2 linked regions of the Arabidopsis thaliana genome follow. The protein of the gene in region 1 interacts with the protein of each later gene in a pairwise test. Each region holds a gene or a part of one and is shown in the gene's direction. Other genes may lie near its edges.

Region 1 (3,927 bases):
CACTCGGTTAAATTCATCTTTTATGGAAAAGAGATTCATCCCAATATGTTTCGAACTCAGCACTTCCACCTAAAAGATTTATCACTGAACTAACAGCACATTGATATGGTCATGCAATTTCTTCGATCTAATCATGGAAAACAACATAGATAATGTTAACGTTTAATGTTGTAATGTTTGTGACTAATCTCTAACGGATGCTAATCTTATACTCCTACATTTATGCCCACAATATGAAATTAATGAGGTTTATACCAATAAATATTACTACTTCTAAGTTTTAACTAGTAGTAAACGAGTGGTAAAAGAGTGAATAGGAGGGTAATAAAGGTAAGAAGGAATGGGGAAGGTCAGAGGCGTATAAAAAATAACAAAAGGCGTGGGAGAGAGGTCTGCGTAGGAGACAGAGACAACATCATTACCTTCTTTGCATGCGTCTCCTCCGTCTTAAAGCTGAAGCTTCACTTTCTTTCTTTCCTTCTTTCTTTTTCTCTATTCTCAAATTTCTTTCTTTTATTTTGTCAACTCTCTTTCAAATATTTTAATTTAACTAGTACTATTCCTTCATTTTCCCAATAATGCCTGTAAAAGAATTGTATTATACTACTGATTTGAATTGTTCATCATGATGAATTCAATTCTTCTTTAAGTGGTTTCAATTCAAGTCTTAACTTTTTCAATTACCAATATATTTTCATTATAGAGTACGTACACACAAAAAAGTGTAGAATTGACTGTTTTAATTAAACGTTGGACCGCTATCTTCATATCGGGCCTAAATTCAGCCCAGTCCATTATGTATCACGGCTGTTGCAATTGGTGGACTTGTTTCATATAGGCTATATAGGTCACTGATATTCAATCTGTCCACTGATTGTTCTATTTGGAAAAATAGAATGATTAATTTCGTTTGTTTTTTTACTCATAACAAAAAAAGATTGCTATATTTGCAGGAGATTTTTCTACTGGTTATAGTTGATTGCTTGCTTCGGTTCATGCAACTGCCAAATTAGTGAAGCAATCTCTCTGCTTTTTCAAGATTTAGCTTCTGGTGTATCTACATTATGGCCTGTATACTTTGGAAGATGGATCAGATCTTTCGTCAGATGCTAAATCTTATAAAAGAAATGTTTTTCCATAGTTATGGAACGAATATCACTGTTCGGCAAGTCAGAATCAAGCGGACCCTTGACCCAAATGAAACTAGGAATAAATTCATTATTGTAGTCAAAATGGAGGTGTTCTTGTTGCTTTGCTTCAAGATCCTTTTCTCTAATGATCTCAAAGCTCGTCGACTTGATGATCTGATGTTAGGTGTTTAGACTTAGAGGTTTAGCATAGCTGAGATTTAACATCAAATGTTATTCTGATCAAATTAACATTGTTAATTGTTATGGGAAAAAAAGACATTTGTTAAATGTAGATTGTAGTAAACCTAAATGGATAATGTTGATTACATATAAACATTCTTAAGAAATAGTGACATGCTTGCATCTTTCCCTACGTGAATCTTTCTCTCTGCCCGTTATATATTTTAATCTTCTTGCAGATACTTGTCCGAATATATATCATCAACCTACAATTTTTTTATTTTACATATGCCACGAAATTGATGTTTTGACTTTAATTTGATTTGTAGTGTCTTCCACGTTCCTTTTTTTCTATAACAACCAAAATAAGCATATGATTTAAGTGGTAAACTGCACCACGAAATTATAGCAACGAACTACATAGATAATACATAACATATAAAATATCAAAATCAAGAAAAAGTCACAACGACCAACAAAATTACATAAATTAAAAAAAAGGGTATTGGTGATCAAAACTCAACGACAAAAAGGAGAGAGTGGGTTAGTTGAATGACCATTTTGTTCGCATGTCTGCTCTCTCTTCTCCACCTTCTTTTTATGCTCCCCTATTCTCCCGACGACTCAAAAGTTCAAAACAATAAACACCACATTTATTTATTATTAATTATACAAAACAAACTAAAATTAATTAGTTTATGATTTAAAGTTTATTCAGGATAATTTATTAAAAATTTAATAGCAATTTTTATTATATAGAAAACAGAAAAATGATACAAATATTCGGATTATTTTATGAGTATACAAATTTTAGTTGCATTAAATGAAACTAAGCAATTAGTTGGAGATATTAGTGGAATTGATCTAAGGGCAGTTAAGTCTCAATTAATTGGTTTATCCAAAAAACCAAGATTAATTAGTGCAAAAGACAAGTGTCAATAGTACAGAGATTCATAAATAGAATTAGAAACCCCAACAAAAATGTGAAGCTTCCAAAAAAAAAGTAAGTATCAAAAAAACAGAATTTTGTCTTCGTTCTTCTCTGAGATTAAAGCTTTCTCTTTTGTAATGGAAGAATCTCAGGGCATCAATGGCGTCGATGATTCATATCGTCATCTCCCAATTCTCTACTTAACCTTTTTAACGATCTGGTCTTTCTCCGCTTGTTCTTGGACGGTTAACACTTTCAAAAATCGCCACTTTCAGGTCAATAAATCTCCTATTTTTTCTCTATCTTATTTCGATAAATTTTGGATTTTTCACTCTTGGGTTTATGAAACTTCTTCTCAAATTCCAAATATTACTCAAAATTTAATCAATTTTTTTTGCAGAATGGTACTTGGGATTTATTGTTTTAATCATGAATTCAGACGATTCTGTTTTTGATTTGTCTCTTTTATGTTTTTCATTAAGGAAGAAACACAATTTGATTTTGGTTCTGTGTTTTTGTTTAGAGCAGACAAATAGTTTACAATGGACTCTTGCTTCAGTTCCATTAATCAAAGCCTTACAGCTCACACTATCTTTCCTCTTTTGGTAAGTCCTCTTTGTGAAGTTATTGTTTCCATTAATGTTACCTTGTCATATTGAGAAATTATTTCTCAGTAACCTTTTTATCGAAAGATCGTTTTCGAAGTCTCTATAGTTGATTAATCTGTTATTTGGTGGCAGGCATTCATGTTTTCACCATCACATTTGCTCTCTATGGATGTCTTTTGGTGTATATGTGACTGGTGTTCTGTTTCAGACAGCTTCATTTGTGTCTTTTTTACTTATCTCTCACGGTTATTGCATCACTTGTGAACGGCTCTCGTTGACCGAACGTAGAACTACAGCTTCACTTGGTTGTGTCTTTTATTTGACTCTTGTTGGATACAGAGCTTCTGTTCCTTATTTTGCAGTGAGTTTTTACCTTTTTCACCTACTCATTAAAGCTAATCTTTTACTTACTTACAAGATGATGAATGAACCAATCTTTTTTTGCTCCTCCAGGTGCTTCTGATACTTAACTACATGATCTCATTCTATGTTATATTCCATCACATATCGCAAAATCTAGCGGTGTTACGAGAACAGCTGAGTTTTATCGAAGATGAGAATGTTCAAGCTATGCATGATGCTGTATATGCTAAATACATCATGTTCAAGTACGTTTTTCATTACCCTCAGGTTTGATGGTTGATGGAAGTAGATAATCTGCTAAGAGTTTTTATTTATGTTTATGGTTTCAGAAAATTCCAAGGAGCTATGCAGATTGTAGCAATGGCAGAAACTGTGGTATGACCAAATCTTTCTTGATTGACATCATGTTGAATTTACTGCTACATTGTTTATACTCACACTCACTTTAAATTATGCAGATCTACATGAACATGGATAACTCCTCACAAAACTATTGGCTCAGGCTACTAATTCGAGAATGGGCTCAGTTCTGCATTTTTCTCTATATTGGGTAAGTTATGATCCCACTTTTCAAGTACATTTCGCTGTTCTTGCTTTGGTCAAGAACTAACAATGCTCCAAACTATATACTTTGGCAGTTGGACTTTCAGGTCTCAGGATATGGCACCGCGTTTCTCGGTAATGCCTACACTAAAACCGAAAGAGAATACAATTA
Region 2 (3,927 bases), on another chromosome or scaffold:
GGCGATCCACATTTCCTTTGTCTCCCTTGTTACGCCCAAGTTACTCTCTTCCCTCGTTCAACGAATTCCCTTCAGAAAGCAAAAACATGTGCACCCTCGAGAAGGTCCATCTCCTGATATTGCTGATGATCAGCTTTCCGATGCTCTTCAATGTTTAGTGAACGTGAAGATCCCAGCATCTATTCCAAAAAAGATCATCCCTTTGGGCCATAAGTACAGAATGATCGGTTGGGAATATAATCGCGCGACTTTTCTTCGGCTAGACAAGGAGGGAAGAAGAGGAGAATTTGTTGTGCTTCTCGAAGTCTCTGACACTTTGCTGGTGTTAACAAGTGCTGAAATGAGGTGGAAGCAGCTTGAGAACGTCCCATATACTATATGCGTTGATATAGTCACTTTTAGAGGCAGATTTTATGCACTTTTTCTTTCAGGACAAATCGTCGTTATCGATCCTTATTCGCTGGAGGTGACTCTTCTGTTGTCCTCACCTCAGGACCCGCGAGAATTACGGTCTCTGGTTCCATATGGCAAAGATGAACTTTTCCTGGTTGAGGTAATCATCCCAAATGATGTTGTAATAGACTTTAGTCGGTTAGCTCGTAGAGTGAGGAGGGTAGATGAGAAGGCTGGTAAATGGGTTGAGGTCGGTGATTTGGGAGACTGTGTATTGTTACTTGGAAATCTCTCTTGCTCGGCTAAGGAATTTCCTCGGGGTTTTGGTTTGACTGAGAACGCAGTTTTGTTCGGCGATCAGTCAGGCAATGCATTTTTATACTATAAACAAAGTGCGGTAAAAGATCTCAAGGGAGAATCGTGTGATGATACTCAACCATTTTTTCCGGTTATGGCTCTCCATGAAGACTGCTAGGCAGTAAAATCCTGCTTTAGAGAAATAAAAACATAAATTCCTATCATATTTTTAGGTATGGATTTTGTGATATCTCATGTTACCCATTGTTGGATCACTGGTATTTAATGTTGAAGTTAAATCTCAGTTCTGAGTTCTTATAACTTTTTTTCGTCATCATGATCTTTTTGAACAATTTGACACTGTCCAAAACTGAAACGTTTAGCCACGATATAGAAACTCTTTTCTTGGTCACTGATCTTTTATTGTGTGCTGCCTTGTGCAGTTTAAAAATCTTGCTACTTGAATGGAACTGGCGCTTGATGACGACGATATGGACTAAATGTAGGAAAACTACATTGCTTTTGACCGTGTAGCTCCCGAAGACTTCCTCAATAAAGCAATGGCTGATTACTCTAGCTCGTTGATATTTCCCTGGAGTCTTTGATTTTTCTCGACGTTTAAGTTAGCTTTTCCATCTTTTTAACATATTATACCGATGTCATTTTGAATGAGAATATAGCTTTTAAGTGGAATAGAGAGGGTAGACATTTGTTTTTTCAAAGTGATGAAAAGAAGTGAACTAGATTCTTTAAAGATCAGAGCATATCCACTGTGGTAGCTCACATACTAATACTGTTACGCCAGAACTTTCCCAGAGAGTGTCAATGAGAAAAGAAAATTCCTTCCAAAAGCTAAAGCTAAGTTCTTGAAATCATCTTTAAAGGAAAATGAAACTTACTTCTATAGTTAGCCTAGGGAGTTTCATTGATGGGGTTACCAAGCTCTGTGTTATTTCATTAATGTTGCGTACTAGCGTTTATTAACCGTTCCAAAAACAAGAACTCACATCACTTTACGAGTTCCTAAGATTCAAACCGATCGAAGATACCTCTTGGCAAATCAGTATCAAAAATATTCTTGGGTACAGAGGAGAGAAACAAGAGTACAAAACAATCAACAGAACGAAGAAAAGAAACATAACAACAACATAATGCAAAAACGACGTCATCTCAAGTCTATCCGAAAACCAAAGTCTTAACCGGCTCATTTGATATAAACCGTCTCAATCCCTTCGGTTCTTTGCTTTCCCAATCAATCCAACCCCAAACCAAATTCGCTCTAAATCTTAACTAGTCTCTATCCCCATTTGTCGACGCTACGAAAGGGCTCTGAAGAATCTGCAGGAAGCTCCAACTTTTTCTCCAAGTTACGGTACTACTACGACCTATCTCTTTAATCCCTGCGAATATTCTATAATGAACTGTGAATTTTCTGTTACCAACTTTTAGTTTTTCCTGTGGCAAATTGATCAAACCCAGAATTGATTATGACCTTTGGAGCTTCAGTGAAATCAATTTTTTCCTGTTGGGTTTTATTTTCCAAGAATGAACTGAGAATTTTCTAAAAATGGAAGAGTTGGATCGTTTCAGCAATTTCATCAAACCCCTAAAAAAAAGTTGTAAATTTTCGAAATTGCAGCAGTAAATTTCTGTGTTCTTCAGCAGCAAGCATGGCAATGAAAAAGAAGATATCAACATCATCGATAATGCCAGACTGGTCTCAGCTCCCTGAAGAGCTACTTCACATTATCTCAACGCATCTAGAGGATCACTATTTCGATGCTGTTCATGCCCGCTCTGTTTGCCGCTCATGGCGATCCACATTTCCATTTCCTTCTTCTCTATTACGCCAAAGTTACTCTCTTCCCGCTTTCCCTTTAGAAAGCAAAGACTTGTGCTGCACCCTGGAGAAGGTCCCTTTGTTCCTCTTTAGAGTTCTAACTCCTCCTGATGCTGCTGATGCTTCCTCCGAATATTTTCTGGGAGGATTAGGCCAAGATAAGTCAAATGATCATGTGGAGCTTCCATCTCCTCTTCAGTGCTCAGTGAAAGTCAATGTTCCAGGAACTGAGCCAATTTTGATGAACATGCTTGACTGCCAGATCATCCCTCTGGGCCATAAGTACAGATTGATGATCGGTTGCAATCCTGAAGAATACAGTGCAGCTTTTCTTCCGCTAAACGAACAAGGAGGAGGAGGCGAATTCGTTGCGCTCCTCGACTGCACTGATTTGTTTTTGGTGTTAAGAAGTACTGAAATGAGATGGATTCGGCTTGAGAAACCCTCAACTGCTTCATGTAAGGAGTTATTCACTTTTAGAGGAAGGTTCTATGCAACTTTCTTTAATGGGGACACGTTCGTTATCGATCCTTCTTCGCTGGAAGCGACTCCCCTAACACCTCATATCGACTCCAACTTTCTGGTTCCATCTGGCAATGAGGAGCTTTTCCTGGTTAAGACAGACTTCCTAAGATGTAGAGTAAGTAGGCTAGATGAGGAGGCTGCTGAATGGGTTGAGGTCAGCGATTTGGGAGACCGTGTTTTGTTTCTTGGTGGACACCTGGGGAATTTCTACTGCTCCGCTAAGGAGCTTCCTCATGGTTGTGGTTTGACTGGGGACTCGATTTTGTTCACCGTTGGGTCACGCAATGTAACTTACCCCTATAAATATGGAGTACATACAAATAAAAGAAAGGCTGAAGACAATATCAATTGTTGGAGATCCTCAAGGGAGAATCGTGTGTTGTTCCGCAACAGATATGATCCGGTCCTGTCTTTCCGGGTTGAACGCTAGGCCGCAAATTCTCACTTCAGACTGTTATTCTGTTTTTATTAGATCAAAGGCTATGTTTTCCTTTGATTTTAAGTCTAGATTTTGTGTACTTGAAAACTCGAACTATACATGATCTCTAGCAAATGTGCAATGGTCTATTGTAGTTAGTCTAGAAAGATTTGTTGGTAACCAGCTATGTTCTTATCAAACTTGTTGCAGGCATAGCAGCAATGTCGTCCCCTTATGCCATACCCTCATACAACTACTATTCTTGCTTTTATTCTGTTAAGAGCTTTTTGATCGTTGTATATTGCTACTACATTTTGGTTTGAAGTAGTGGTGCATGTGTTGCATAGTCCGTAGGTAAAACTGGTCCGAAAGCGGTAAACAGGATCACTTCGTTGTTAGTTTGTATCCTTGGGATAGTGAAGATCTTGACAGTTGGTACGTTTGAGTTTTGTAT

What was found.
Region 2: the proteins of AT1G52155 (region 1) and AT2G24250 interact in a protein complementation assay, tested with the Arabidopsis thaliana proteins (one large-scale study listed by BioGRID).

The regions. Positions count from the first base shown.
Region 1 is NC_003070.9:19,415,288-19,419,214, forward strand, and holds the start of AT1G52155 (uncharacterized protein), read left to right. Parts: upstream 1-2,146; 5' UTR 2,147-2,378; coding exon 2,379-2,516; intron 2,517-2,769; coding exon 2,770-2,846; intron 2,847-2,981; coding exon 2,982-3,210; intron 3,211-3,302; coding exon 3,303-3,457; intron 3,458-3,541; coding exon 3,542-3,587; intron 3,588-3,670; coding exon 3,671-3,762; intron 3,763-3,850; coding exon 3,851-3,927.
Region 2 is NC_003071.7:10,312,994-10,316,920, reverse strand, and holds AT2G24250 (LOW protein: F-box/kelch-repeat protein (DUF295)), read left to right. Parts: upstream 1-1,940; 5' UTR 1,941-2,062; intron 2,063-2,329; 5' UTR 2,330-2,360; coding exon 2,361-3,485; 3' UTR 3,486-3,855; downstream 3,856-3,927. Other genes in the region: AT2G24255 (LOW protein: F-box/kelch-repeat protein), read left to right, coding at 1-868.